Linked DNA regions of Cricetulus griseus. The protein of the gene in region 1 purifies or fractionates together with the protein of each later gene. This does not show direct contact. Links are inferred from orthologs where the notes say so. Each region holds a gene or a part of one and is shown on either strand. Other genes may lie near its edges.

What was found.
Region 2: the proteins of Atp6v1a (region 1) and Atp6v1f fractionate together in Homo sapiens (co-fractionation; 3 studies listed by BioGRID and IntAct, with this or other methods). This does not show direct contact. The link is inferred for Cricetulus griseus from reciprocal best matches to the Homo sapiens genes ATP6V1A and ATP6V1F.
Region 3: the proteins of Atp6v1a (region 1) and ATP synthase subunit gamma, mitochondrial fractionate together in Homo sapiens (co-fractionation; 3 studies listed by BioGRID). This does not show direct contact. The link is inferred for Cricetulus griseus from reciprocal best matches to the Homo sapiens genes ATP6V1A and ATP5F1C.

Annotation. Positions count from the first base shown.
Region 1 is NC_048597.1:46,270,684-46,274,858, reverse strand, and holds the start of Atp6v1a (V-type proton ATPase catalytic subunit A), read right to left. Parts: upstream 2,907-4,175; 5' UTR 2,226-2,906; exon of another isoform or gene 2,217-2,225; intron 1-2,216. Other genes in the region: Naa50 (N-alpha-acetyltransferase 50), read left to right, coding at 3,377-3,384. UniProt on the Homo sapiens protein: Catalytic subunit of the V1 complex of vacuolar(H+)-ATPase (V-ATPase), a multisubunit enzyme composed of a peripheral complex (V1) that hydrolyzes ATP and a membrane integral complex (V0) that translocates protons.
Region 2 is NW_023276806.1:198,350,294-198,354,608, reverse strand, and holds Atp6v1f (V-type proton ATPase subunit F), read left to right. Parts: upstream 1-1,438; 5' UTR 1,439-1,511; coding exon 1,512-1,669; intron 1,670-3,841; coding exon 3,842-4,043; 3' UTR 4,044-4,289; downstream 4,290-4,315. UniProt on the Homo sapiens protein: Subunit of the V1 complex of vacuolar(H+)-ATPase (V-ATPase), a multisubunit enzyme composed of a peripheral complex (V1) that hydrolyzes ATP and a membrane integral complex (V0) that translocates protons.
Region 3 is NC_048596.1:226,990,636-226,994,258, reverse strand, and holds part of ATP synthase subunit gamma, mitochondrial, read left to right. Parts: coding exon 1-125; intron 126-3,305; coding exon 3,306-3,510; intron 3,511-3,623.

The DNA.
Region 1 (4,175 bases):
TGTAGTACTCAGTACTTTTAAACTGGTTTCCTCTAGTCCATTTTGGTGCACCTGCACAGAACTGGTTTGGACTTCCAAAGCACTTAGGAATTCTGTTTATTTGGTGGAATGTCACATGGGCAGGAAACCAAAACCATTTTTTCCCTCTCCTCAAGAGATCAGGGAAGCTCACTCTTGAGAAAAACAACGGCTAATACTGTATTTCAGGAGATGGCTCAGTCATTAAAGTGCTTGCTTTGCAAGCATGAAAATCCAGGTTTGGCTCCCCAGCATGCATTCAAAAGTCAAGTATGTTGGTGCTCCTTTATCCTCATTGCTCAGGGGCAAATGGAGACAGAAGGATGCCTGGGGCTTGCTGAATCAGTGAGCTAACCTACCTTTAAAAAAAAGGAGTGGGGGAGAATGGAGGAAGACACTTCTGGGAGGCACACACATGCAAATAAAAATGACAACAAGTGAATGGCTGAGCCAACTGTGGTGTTATCCATACCACAGAATAATGATTAGCAATGAAAAGGAACAAACTATTTAAGAACCTATATTTATGCTTGTTATATAAACCTATCAATAGCTATTGTGGATCACAAAATGGTAAAATTGTAAATATGAATACAAAAACCAGTATGATTTTTCTGGGCAGTGCAAGATATTTTTTGTAAGAAGTTATCAAATAGGCCAACCTTTCTATTTTGTTAAATTGCTATCATTACTTTAGCTTGCAGCTCTCATTAACAAATAAGATCATGTAATTTCAGAAAACGTGGGAGGGGAAAAATTCAGTCTGACAAATCACTAGAAGATAATCATTCCATCTTTTTCCTTTTAACTTTCAAGTTCAGAAGACTAGATCTAAAGCCTCAAGCATTCATGGAGGTAAGAACCATATTCCCAGTCCTCAGCAGATTTTAAAAAGTAAATTCTTCAATTACATTGCTTAGAACTAAGATTTAACTAAAAACATGAAACCATATAAGAAAATGTATAAAAGTCAAATGTGTAATTTAAAACAAGGAACTTTCTAAGTTTGCAGAATAAATAAATGAGTTTAGCCACAAACTGAAAAACATTCCTTTCCTAAAGCTCATTGTTTGATATCAAAACAGTGGCTACTACAGTGCATATAAAATGGGAGTACAAAGGGTTGGGCAACTCTACGGCAAAAGAATTCCTGTATTTTCACAATATATTATACACCCAAATCAGAAGAGGTCACTTCATTTTTTTTTTTTTGCAAATGCAAAAGCTAATTAAAAACACACTCCACAAATTTAAACTGGCCAAGGAATTGACTGGGAGGGACAATTATGTAGGATTTAAAGAAAAAAAAAATGCCCAAAAGGGGAAGGATGCCACAGACATCACAGAAAATACCAAGTCAGTAATATCTAGGCTTAACCTTCCTGCTTTTAAATTATAGCCAAATGAATTTGGATTAATTATATTTTCAGCTTGATCAATTTCGGAAGAATTACTTCCCTTTCGGGAAAACCTCGTCACTTTCCCATAAGCTAGCCTAGGTCTCCAGCCCAACCAGGCAACACCATCTTTCATTGCCTTCTCATTCAACTGTCGCATTACCAAACACCCTGTTCTGAAGACAGTACCACGGCCTTCTCTCCGAAAAGAAAAGGCTGTAAGCCCTGCTCTTGCCCTTCCAGTCTCATCCGGAGCAAGTGAACACTCATTGAACCTCTCTGCAGGGATGTCCGATAAGACCCTTAGAATCACCGAGAATGCACATTCGTAGGGCAGTTCTTCAGTGACTCTGCAGTGAGGGCCGTATCAGTGACATTCCCTCCCAAGCCCGTCTCACCGGAGACGCCTCTGCCTCCAGGGGGTTCTCCTATCTTCCTGCTCATCCGGACGAAGGCCTTTGCCAGGGGAAGGAGCTCTGGGGAATGGGACCTGGAGGTGGTTGCAAACCCGGAGTAATGGCTAAAGCAATCCTACCACCTGAAGCCCCAACGACTCCAAATAGGGAACCGTAATGGCCGCACTCGCTCTCAACCCAGGCAAAGGTGGGCATCTTAATCCCTCGCCAGTGGACTTCGGGGACGAGCCAGGGGTCCAGAATGTAGATCTGGAGAAAAGAGCTACCAACCAGCCAGTGCAGGATGACAACGGGGAAGGAGCCCCAGCACCGCAGGCCGCCGCTCGCACTCCCCAGTCCCCATCTCCTCTCTCCCCGTCAATCGTCCCCACCAGTCGCCGGTTACCTGTCGCACCTGACCCGCCGGGGCGCGAAGAGCAGAATCAGTACCTACACGGGACCCAGAGGCTCTGTCACTGAGGGAGGGGAAGACTTCAGCTGCAAGGGGCGGGTCGTCCTGGTCATGTGACCTCAAGCTCCACCCTGCTTCTCCTCCCCAGCCACGCCGCCTCTCGCCAGTCTTGAATCCTAGCAGGTCGCTTGGATGTGAATGGTTGCGTGGCTAATGAACGAGTTAGGTCCTTTTTTCGCTATGACTGGGTTATAAACTGCAGCACAGAAAACGAGGACGGCAAGGGTTAAAGTGCATTGCTAAGGAAGTGACGTTAAGTCACGCTCTAGGGGCCGGAAGTGGCGATGGAGTCCCGCCTCTCTCAGTCCCGAGTTAAAATCCTGGCTGGAAAGCTTCAGCCTATCACGTGATTAAAAAAAAAAAACAAAACCGTGGTTTGCCTGCTGGAAGATAGCCAAGTTATCCGGGCCCCTCGTTACCTTTTGGTTTTTAAAACACATTTACTGCAGGTCTCCACAGGCTTCTCCTACATCGAGAAGAACCCGTTTTATAAAAGCCTATCGGGCGACAAGAGCGTTTGAAGGTCACTGGAGAGGGGCGCGGGAAAGACCGATCTTGCAGATCTGAGAGCAGTGAGGGAAGGGCGGAAGGATCCGGATTTTACCGCCGGAGCCTACCGGGCAAGCTCGGCGGGAGTGTCGCAAAGGGTGGGCGGAGCTAGCCCCCCGGAGGCCCAGCCCAGGGCAAAGGGGGGGAAGTCCTGGGGGGGAGGGGCGCGCGGCACGGAGCACTGCGGCTGCGCGCGACGCGGCGGCCGCGCCGGCGCGCTGAGGGGGCGGGGTGAAAGGTCACAGCGCGGCGGCGGGTCTGGCTGGCGGCAGCTGCGGGCGGGAGCGGAGTGTCCCGTGTGCACGTGTGGAGGAGCGGCGGCGGCGGCGGCAGCAGCGCGGCGGCGACAGATCTTCCCGCGTCTCCCCGGAGCTTCGGGGCCCGGCTCGGCTTTCGTGGCCTCCTTGGCCCCTCGGCGCCCTTCCCTCAGCCAAGAGGCCGGCGTGTGGGGTTGAGTGGCCTGAGCTCAGGGCGCGGAGAGCTCCCGGCGGCGAGGACGACGGCGTTGGTCGCGGCTGTAACGACGGCCTCAGCAGGCGGGGAAGATGAAAGGGTGAGGAAGGAAGGAAGGGAGGGAGGGAGGGAGGGCAGCCGGCGGGGGCCCGGCGGGCAGGGGAGAGGGGCGTGGGCCGGTGGACCCGGAGAGCGCCGCGAGGAGAGACTCGCGCCAAGACCGGGCCTCCGGAGGGACCTTGCCAGGCTCCTCGGTCACCCCACTCCGGGAGGGGGGCGGAGGCTAGGCCGGCTGTTGGCGGGCTGAAGGGCCTGCGGAGGCAGGGGCGCGAGTCCACGAATCCAGCCCAGAGAACGAGTGTGCACCGAGTGGGACAGCCGGGAGGAGGTATGGTAGGCGCCCGGGGCCTTTTCCCGGGAGCGCACGGCCGAGCCGCCTCAGGTGCTCATCGGTCTCCAGGATCCACGCTGTGGCTGCGAGCTTTGACACGTTTCTGGTTTCTTCCTACTTGTGGACTGTGCAGAACCTTCTGGAGGGAAAAGGAATTGGAATAAAGAGCATGGGGATGAGTGTTAGGAGCTAGTGACTCAACGAGATTTGGGTTGGGTCAGAGCGAGTGGAGGAGGGAGGGGGAACGAACTCAAGCCGCGTAGACTTTGGGGTGCCAAAATGTTTAAGGAAGTATCCGGGATCAGTAGGTGGAGCTATTGCTTCAAGAGAGTTTTGCCCCCTGAGTGCAAAGAGGAGTGTTTTGGCTGCTCGTTCGAAAAGTTGAGGTTTGGTCTTTGAAATCTTGGGTAGCATTAGACGTTATTTTTGTTTAACTGTTCCCGTTTGGGAAAAAGTATTTCCCTTCCATGGATTTATAAACTGTTACAGTATTAACACCG
Region 2 (4,315 bases), on another chromosome or scaffold:
ATCCTGCTTCTAGCTCCTAAATACTAGGGTTACTTCTATATAGTTCTCTAAATTTAGCAGCTAACATAAGGCCTTGGTGCTCTGCAGCACTACTCAGTGTCAACAATTTGCCCATTTCTTTATTATATATATTATATATATATATATAATATACATATATATATTGTCGTAGTTAACATGCATGTATACATGATACTGCTATAGACCTTGACTTTCTAGCTAGGAAATAACTTTTCTTCGACAATTGTAGTAGCACATGTCTATAATCCCAGTACTGTAATCCCAGACTGAGGCAAGAGTTGGAGAGTTTGAGGACTGTCTGGGCAAAACAAACAAATGAAGCAGGCAGGAGGAAATAATGAATCCCTGTAATCCCAGCATTCAGGAGGATGAGAGGCAATAGGATAACTCACTGCAAGTTCAAGGCCAGCCTGGATTCTGAGGTCCAGGCAGCAAAGGTTACAAAAGATAAACTACCTGATAAAACCAAAACAAAGGGTAGGGGGTGTGGCATGGTGGCCAAGCCTTAAATTCTAGTACTTTCGAGGCTGAGACAGTAGGATCACCAAAGGTTTGAGGCCAGGTTAGGGTAAAATAGTGAAACCCTATCAAGAAAAAGAAAACAAAGAGAGGGAGGGAGGAGGGAGGAAGAAAGGAAAGAAGGAAGAAAGAGAAAGAGAAAAAGGAAGGAAGGAGGAAGGGAAAGATAAGAGGAAGGAAGGAAGGAAGGAAGGAAGGAAGGAAAAAACAAAAAAAAAACAAAAACAAACCACACACCGAATTGACTAGATGACCCTAAGGCCCACCTAGTGGAAGAGATGCTCACAGGGTGTACTATGACCTCACACACATGCCCCCACCTCCGTGCCCCTCTTGCGAGCCTCCAAAAGAACAAATGTAACAACAGAAAAAAAGTTTTTAAGCAAACAAACCATACACATACTCTGTTTTGTGTGGAAAGTAGCTGCGGGATCAGGAATTCAAGGCCATCCTCTCCCTACACTGCAAATTTAAGACTGGTCTGTTCAAAAAGCCAAAAACAAAACATCATACCCCCCAACCCCCACCCCCCAAAAAAGAGTATGCCCCCTGGGGTCTCGGTCTTCAATAACTCTAGGTTCAAAAAAAATGTTGCTTCCAGAAGAAGGAAGGACTAAAGGACAGAGAGAGAGAGAGGAGAGAGAGAGAGAGACAGAGGGAGGGAGGGAGAGGAGAGAGAGGAGGGAGGGAGGGAGGGAAGGGAGGGAGAGGAGGGAGGAAGGGAGGAAGGGAGGGGAGGGAGAGGAGAGAGAGGAGAGAGAGAGACACGGAGGGGGGGTTAGGCTTGTGCCGCTCAGCCTTCTGGGAGATGTAGTTCCATGGTTCCGGCCTCTATGGCGCAGCCGGACAGAGGCGTGATCCTGCTAATGCGCATGTCCAGGAGGCGGGGACCCCGCGCATGACTGAGGGCGTGGCCGCCGCGGGGGCGGGACATCTCAGGTGCTGGGGGAGCGCTCCGTTCTGCCGACAGAATGGCGGGCCGGGGTAAACTGATCGCGGTGATTGGAGACGAGGACACGGTGACGGGTTTCCTCCTGGGCGGCATAGGGGAGCTTAACAAGAACCGCCACCCTAATTTCCTGGTAGTAGAGAAGGATACCACCGTCAATGAGATCGAAGACACTTTCAGGTACGGTAGCCGGTGAGGCCTAAATGGGTCCTTCTGCTTGTTACAAGCGCGGGGAGAATTAGGGCCTGTTTACCGGGTGTCAGGCGGCGATGGGGATCGGGATGGCACTGGAAGCTGTCAGCCCGTCCGGAGCAGAGGCCTCCGCCGCCTAAGTTCCCCTTTGGGGCTCAGAGGGGCCCCACGTAAGGCAGGTCCACGAGCTCCGGGTCCGTCACATGATTGTGTGTCAGGTTAGGAGGAGAGCCGGGCCTGTGATCCGCCTCTGCCTCTGCCGGCCTCCTGGAGGAGCTTCAGTCGGTGGCTGAAGCAGGCTCAGCGTTTCTTCCGGGGTCCCCGACGCTCACCTGTAATGCATTCGCTGGACCTTAGTTTTGAGTCATATCCTAAACAAACCACACCCAGTGTGGGTCTGGACAGTGGGCTGTGTGTGTGTGTGTGTGTGTGTGTGTGTGTGGTGTACACACAGCTTCATTTTTCTTAGATGCTCACAACTGTCCTGTAAAGTAGTGTTTATCCCCAATTACTGGTGAGAAAAATAAAGGGCCGATAGGTTAAGGCACAGGCCCAAAGACACACCAGCTGTAAGAAGCAGACCCTTCTATTTGTTTAAGACAGTTTCTCTGTGTAGTCCTGGAACTCTCTCTGTAGACCAGGCTGGCCCTGAACGCAGAGATCCGCCTGCCTCTGCCTCCTGAGTGCTGGGATTAAAGGCGAGCACACCACTAGTCTGTTTTTATGTTTTAATTACCGAGTCTGTTTGTGTGATGTGTGACTGTGGGTAAGTGCTTGTCACTGTGTACATATGGAGGTCAGAAAACAACCTTGTGGAATCAGATTTCTCTTTCCATGGGCTTCAAGGATAGAAAAACTCAACTAGCCAACAGGCACATTTACCCACTGAGCCGTCTTACGCTTTCTTATGCTGGTGCCTACTCTTGTTTCTGTAGCTGCCCTTCAGTCTGCCTTGGAGTTTCCATTTGTCTTGAGCACCTTGGGCAGAACACGTGGAAAGTATGGCCTTCCACAAAGACCTGCACTTCAGGCCATCACTTTGTGCCCTAGGTCAAAGATCATAGTTTCAAATAGTGGGTGCAGGTCTTCCAAGCCAGGAAGTGCCCTGTTGATTAGAATCGAGGGAGCCAACACCCTATGCCTTCACTCCTTTTCCAAGGCTACTGTGCCAAGTCTCAGGAATAAACTGCCCTCACCTGTTTTCCCTAAACTGCCCAGTCAAGGCATGCTGGCTGAGGCTAGTTCCCACTGCCTGGGCTGTGGCAGGCTCCGACCTGGGAGAGACTGATCAGCTGATCTCTAAGCAGCATGATAAAGTGACCTCCGTTGTCACCGGAGGACAGATTTTACTTCTAAGAAGTTTCCATGTTTCCAGCAAGAAGGGATCCTAAAATGATCAAGTCAGATCTATTCCATGCTTGACACAAAGTAGGTGCCCAGTAAATTATTATTGTTTTCTTTTTCGAGACAGGGTTTGTGCAGCCTTGGCCTATCCTGGAACTCAATCTGTAGACCACGATGGCTTCAAACTCAGTGATCTGCCTGCCTCTGCCTCTGCCTCCGAGGTGCTAGGATTAAAGGAGTACCTCTACTGCCTGGCTTGCTTTCTTTTCTTTCTCTCTCTCTCTCTCTCTCTCTCTCTCTCTCTCTCTCTCTCTCTGTTTTTTGGGGTTTTTTTGGTTTTTCAGTAAATTATTTTTAATGAGCAGATGGCTGAATGTGCTTGTCTGTGTGTGGGGGGTGATCACATGACAAGGCCATAATGACAGTTTCTGTCTGGAAATTGTGATTCCGTCATTGCTGAGTTTCCTCTTTCCATCTTTTCTTTGACTTCTGGCAAATGTTGTCCTGGCCTCATCAGCACAGACCTTGAGGCCTTCGGGGTCCCCTCAACTCTATATTTTAAAATTTCTCCCTTCTCTACCTTCATCAATAGTAAGAGTCTTATGTTTCTAGAATCTTCTTATGCAGATACAAAGAGCCTCATACCTATTTCCTTCTCCTCCCTTTTCCTACCCAGAGGCAGCATGTAGAACACACTGACATGCACCCCAGTCAGTGTGTTTCTGAGCTCTTCATCCATCTCTCTATATTCTATAGTTGAGAGAGACCCTTGTACCCCCAAGTCACTGCCATTCTCCTCCTTTGTTGTCCCAACAGGCAGTTTCTGAACAGGGATGACATTGGCATCATTCTCATCAACCAGTACATTGCAGAGATGGTCCGGCATGCCCTTGACGCCCACCAGCGGTCCATCCCGGCTGTCCTGGAGATCCCATCCAAGGAGCATCCATACGATGCGGCCAAGGACTCCATCCTGCGCAGGGCCAAGGGCATGTTCACCGCCGAAGACCTGCGCTAGGGCTCCCCAACCCTCAACCCCCTCTCACTACCAGGCCTCTCCCAGTTTGCCATCCTCTATTTAAGTTTGAAGTCTTGGTTTCCAGCCCCTCCCTTTCTTTTCACTGAGTGGCTGCTAAGCTGCTGGGGCTCTGCTGTTGAGATCCAGGCTGGTTAGGGAAAGAAAGCCCAACCATCTCTCTCCACTACCTCCTCCCTGTGCTGTTACACAGTGTCATTGTTGATATTAAAGAATATTCTCTCCAAATGGGTGCAGTGATGGAGGACATTAGG
Region 3 (3,623 bases), on another chromosome or scaffold:
GAGACTGAAGTCTATCAAAAACATCCAGAAAATTACCAAGTCTATGAAGATGGTGGCAGCTGCGAAGTATGCCCGGGCTGAGCGGGAGCTGAAGCCAGCTCGTGTGTATGGAACAGGCTCCTTGGGTGAGTTAGGAAGAGTGTGCCACGAGAGATGGTGTGCTCATAGTGAATCTAGTGCTGGGTGGTTTGGTCCACTTTCAAAAGCCTAGATGTACCTGGGAAGAGGGAGTCTCAACTGAAGAATTGCCCCTATGAAAATGGCCTGTGGTCATGTTTTCTTGATGGCTAATTGATGCAGAGAGACCCAGCCCACTGTGTATACCATCCCGAAGCAGGAAGACCTGAGCCGTATATAAAATAAGTAAAGAAAGCCAGCAAGCAACAGTCCTCCAAGGCTTCTGTTTCAATTCTTGGCTCCCTGAGGTGATAAACTGTTAACCTGGAATGTAAAATAAAATAATACCTGTCCTTTCCAAGTTGGTTTGAATCCCTGTTTTATCAACAGAAACCAAGCCTGTCCTGAACACTCAGCATTTATTCACGTTTTCATGTATGCACTTGGGTTATTGCATTACCATCTGAAGGGCTAGGAAATGGTGTCATCTTGCTAATAACCTTGTGTGCAGTTTTAGGACAGGGAAAACAGACAGGGCAACTTGGTTGTAACTATATGATCTCTTCTTGAATTCTTTTCCTACAGGGAAAAGTGGCATGGTATTTTTACAACTTAAATTTTGTGTTTAGATGATTTTATGCTGATTTGATTATTAATTTGTCTTAGAGATAAGCAAAAGAGGTAGGAAATTTCCCATCCTAACTGTAATTAGATAATCCAAATTCTTTCAATGCTGTGCTATGTTTGATTGAAGAAATCCATTTCAAAGAATTTTCTTTTTTCCTTTTTTCTTTTTTTTTTTCTTGGTTTTTCAAGACAGGGTTCTTTGTGTATCCCTAGCTATCCTGGAACTCACTCTATAGGTTAGGCTGGCCTCACACTCAGATATCTGCCTATCTCTGTCTCTGAGTGCTGGGATTAAAGGCGTGTATCACTGTCACCTGGCAGAATTCTTAACTTACTATGAGAAGTTTGAAAGTGATGGAGATTATATAGTAGGTTAAGATTTGTTCCTGTTGCTCAGTCTTTTACAGCCTTCTAGCTGATGCCCTTGCTTCTTTTCTAGTTTTTCTCACCCTAAGCTGCAGTAATTACCTGTGAATAGCTTCATTCTGTCCCTCCTGCAAGTTTCTTTACAATTAGAATGCAGTTGTTAATGACCCTCAAGTCCTTATGCAGTTCTAATCCTGCTTCACCTCCTCTGCCCACACTGTTGCTGCTTTCCTTTGTAAGTGGAAGTTTCTGCCCTGCAAGCTGCTCCCAAGTAACCAGAGACTTAATGCTAATCATAAATGCTGCCCAATAGCTCAGGTTTGTTATTAGCTAACTCTTACATTTTCAACGAACCCATATTTTTATCTACGCTTTGCCATGTGGCTTGGTACCTTTTCTCAGTACAGCATGTCCATCTTGCTTCTCTCTGGGTCAGCTTACTACTCCTCTGACTCCGCCTTTCTTCCCAGCATTCTCTATTTGGCCTTCCCCCTAACCTTATCCTGTCCAGCTATTGGCCAGTCAGCTTCTTTATTAAACAAATCACAGGCACATATATTCACACAGTGTAAAGGAATATTGCACATTCCTTAGTGGCTTTATGTGGGTTTCCACTGACTACCTGTTCTGTAGGCCTCCTCAAGCCATCTTATTCTCAGTGATGTCTCTTTCAATAAAGAGACACAGAAAATGTAGACAGCAGTTTATTTAGCAAAGCACACTCTCCAGAGACTGGAGTGGGCTGCCCATAAGGGCAGGAGAACAATGAATTCCCCCATTGTAGATTTTAAAGAAATATTTTTGAGGTGGGTGGCATATTCCAAAGGTAAGAGCCAAAGTAGAAAGTTCACCATGAAGATATCAAAACCATATTATAAAGGATACTGACATATAGCCAAGGTCTCTTGAAGATGCAGACCTGTTTTTAATTAATGCATGTGTGTGGAGAATGCTCTGCTTTTAAGATTTTTAATTATGTGTCTGTGTAAAAGTGCCCATAGAGGCCAGAAGAGGGTGTCAAATTCCTTGAAACTGGAGTTAAAAGTAACTGTAATGCATTGGGGTCTGGGAACCCAACGCAGGGCTTCTGCAAGATCAGCGGGTGCTCTTTACCATTGAGTCATTTCTCTAGTCTGTGCCTCAGTTGTTGATGTGGCAAGAGCAGTCTTTCTCCAGTCTCAGGGACATTTACGCATAAAGGAACATTTTGACAGTCAGGAGACAGACCCAACAAGATCCAGTTACAGTTTGCTTGATGACTTTGTATCTAACTCCTTTGAGATTGCTCAGGATCCATGTTGACTCTTATGACTGCCTATTGATTGAATAATTGAGGCATTCTTACAAATTTTGGACCAAGATTTTAGTACAAACAAGGTTTATGCTGTCTTCTAGGACTTTCTTCTCCCCACTCTACCATTCAGGTCTGTTTTATGTATATGTTCTGTGTGTATATAGAAGACAGGGGTGTATACCTTCTCTCTCTCTCTCTCTCTCTCTCTCTCTCTCTCTCTCTCTCTCTCTCTCTCTCTCTCTCTTCCAAGACAGGGTTTCTCTGTATAGCTTTGGAGCCTGAGTTGGAACTAGCTTTTGTAGACCAGGCTGGTCTTGAACTCACAAGCGAGCCACCTGCCTCTGCCAGGAATAAAGGTTTGCAACAACACCACCTGGGGATCTAGGTATCTTTAATCCCACTTAATGTCTTCTTTGCCACTGCTTCTTGGAAAAACAGACCAGAAAAGTTGGTAAAGTAATGCTACATATAAATTCACACCCATAACTTCAATATCAATAGTTACTATAAAATAAGAGCTTGATGTACAGATTACATGAGAGGTTAAGTAAATGCTTACTTGCTACTTTTTTTTTAGCTGTATGCTGGGAATTTACATTGTATAAGTCTGGTATCCAATTAAGCAATTATTTTTGTGTTCTATCTTCCCTTTTGGTTGTATCTAGGCATTTTGGTCAATTTTTTTTTTTTTTTTAAACTGGCCACTATTTGATCCTTAGGAACCTTTGTGATGTCCTTCCTAGTTGTAAATGGAATAAGCACACAAAAACCCTTGATTATACTCATAGGTGCCACCTAAAAAAAGTGCATAGTGGAAAAACTTCAACAACTTGAAATTAGAGATTGCCACTACATTTACTGTAAATTTTATTTCTGTACTCTATTTTTTTTTTTTTTTCAGCTCTATATGAGAAGGCTGAAATTAAGGGACCCGAGGACAAGAAGAAACACCTTCTTATTGGTGTGTCCTCAGATCGAGGACTGTGTGGTGCTATTCATTCATCAGTGGCTAAGCAGATGAAGAATGAGGTGGCAAACCTTACAGCAGCGGGGAAAGAAGTGATGATTGTTGGAATTGGTGATAAAATCAAAGGCATACTTTATAGGTAAATGTGATATGTGTTCATGTTCAGAAGAATGGAAACATGAATGAATGGAAGTCTCTTTGATAGAGAAAAGTTTTTCATGATGTGTATCCTATGTGTTCCTTTTTACATTG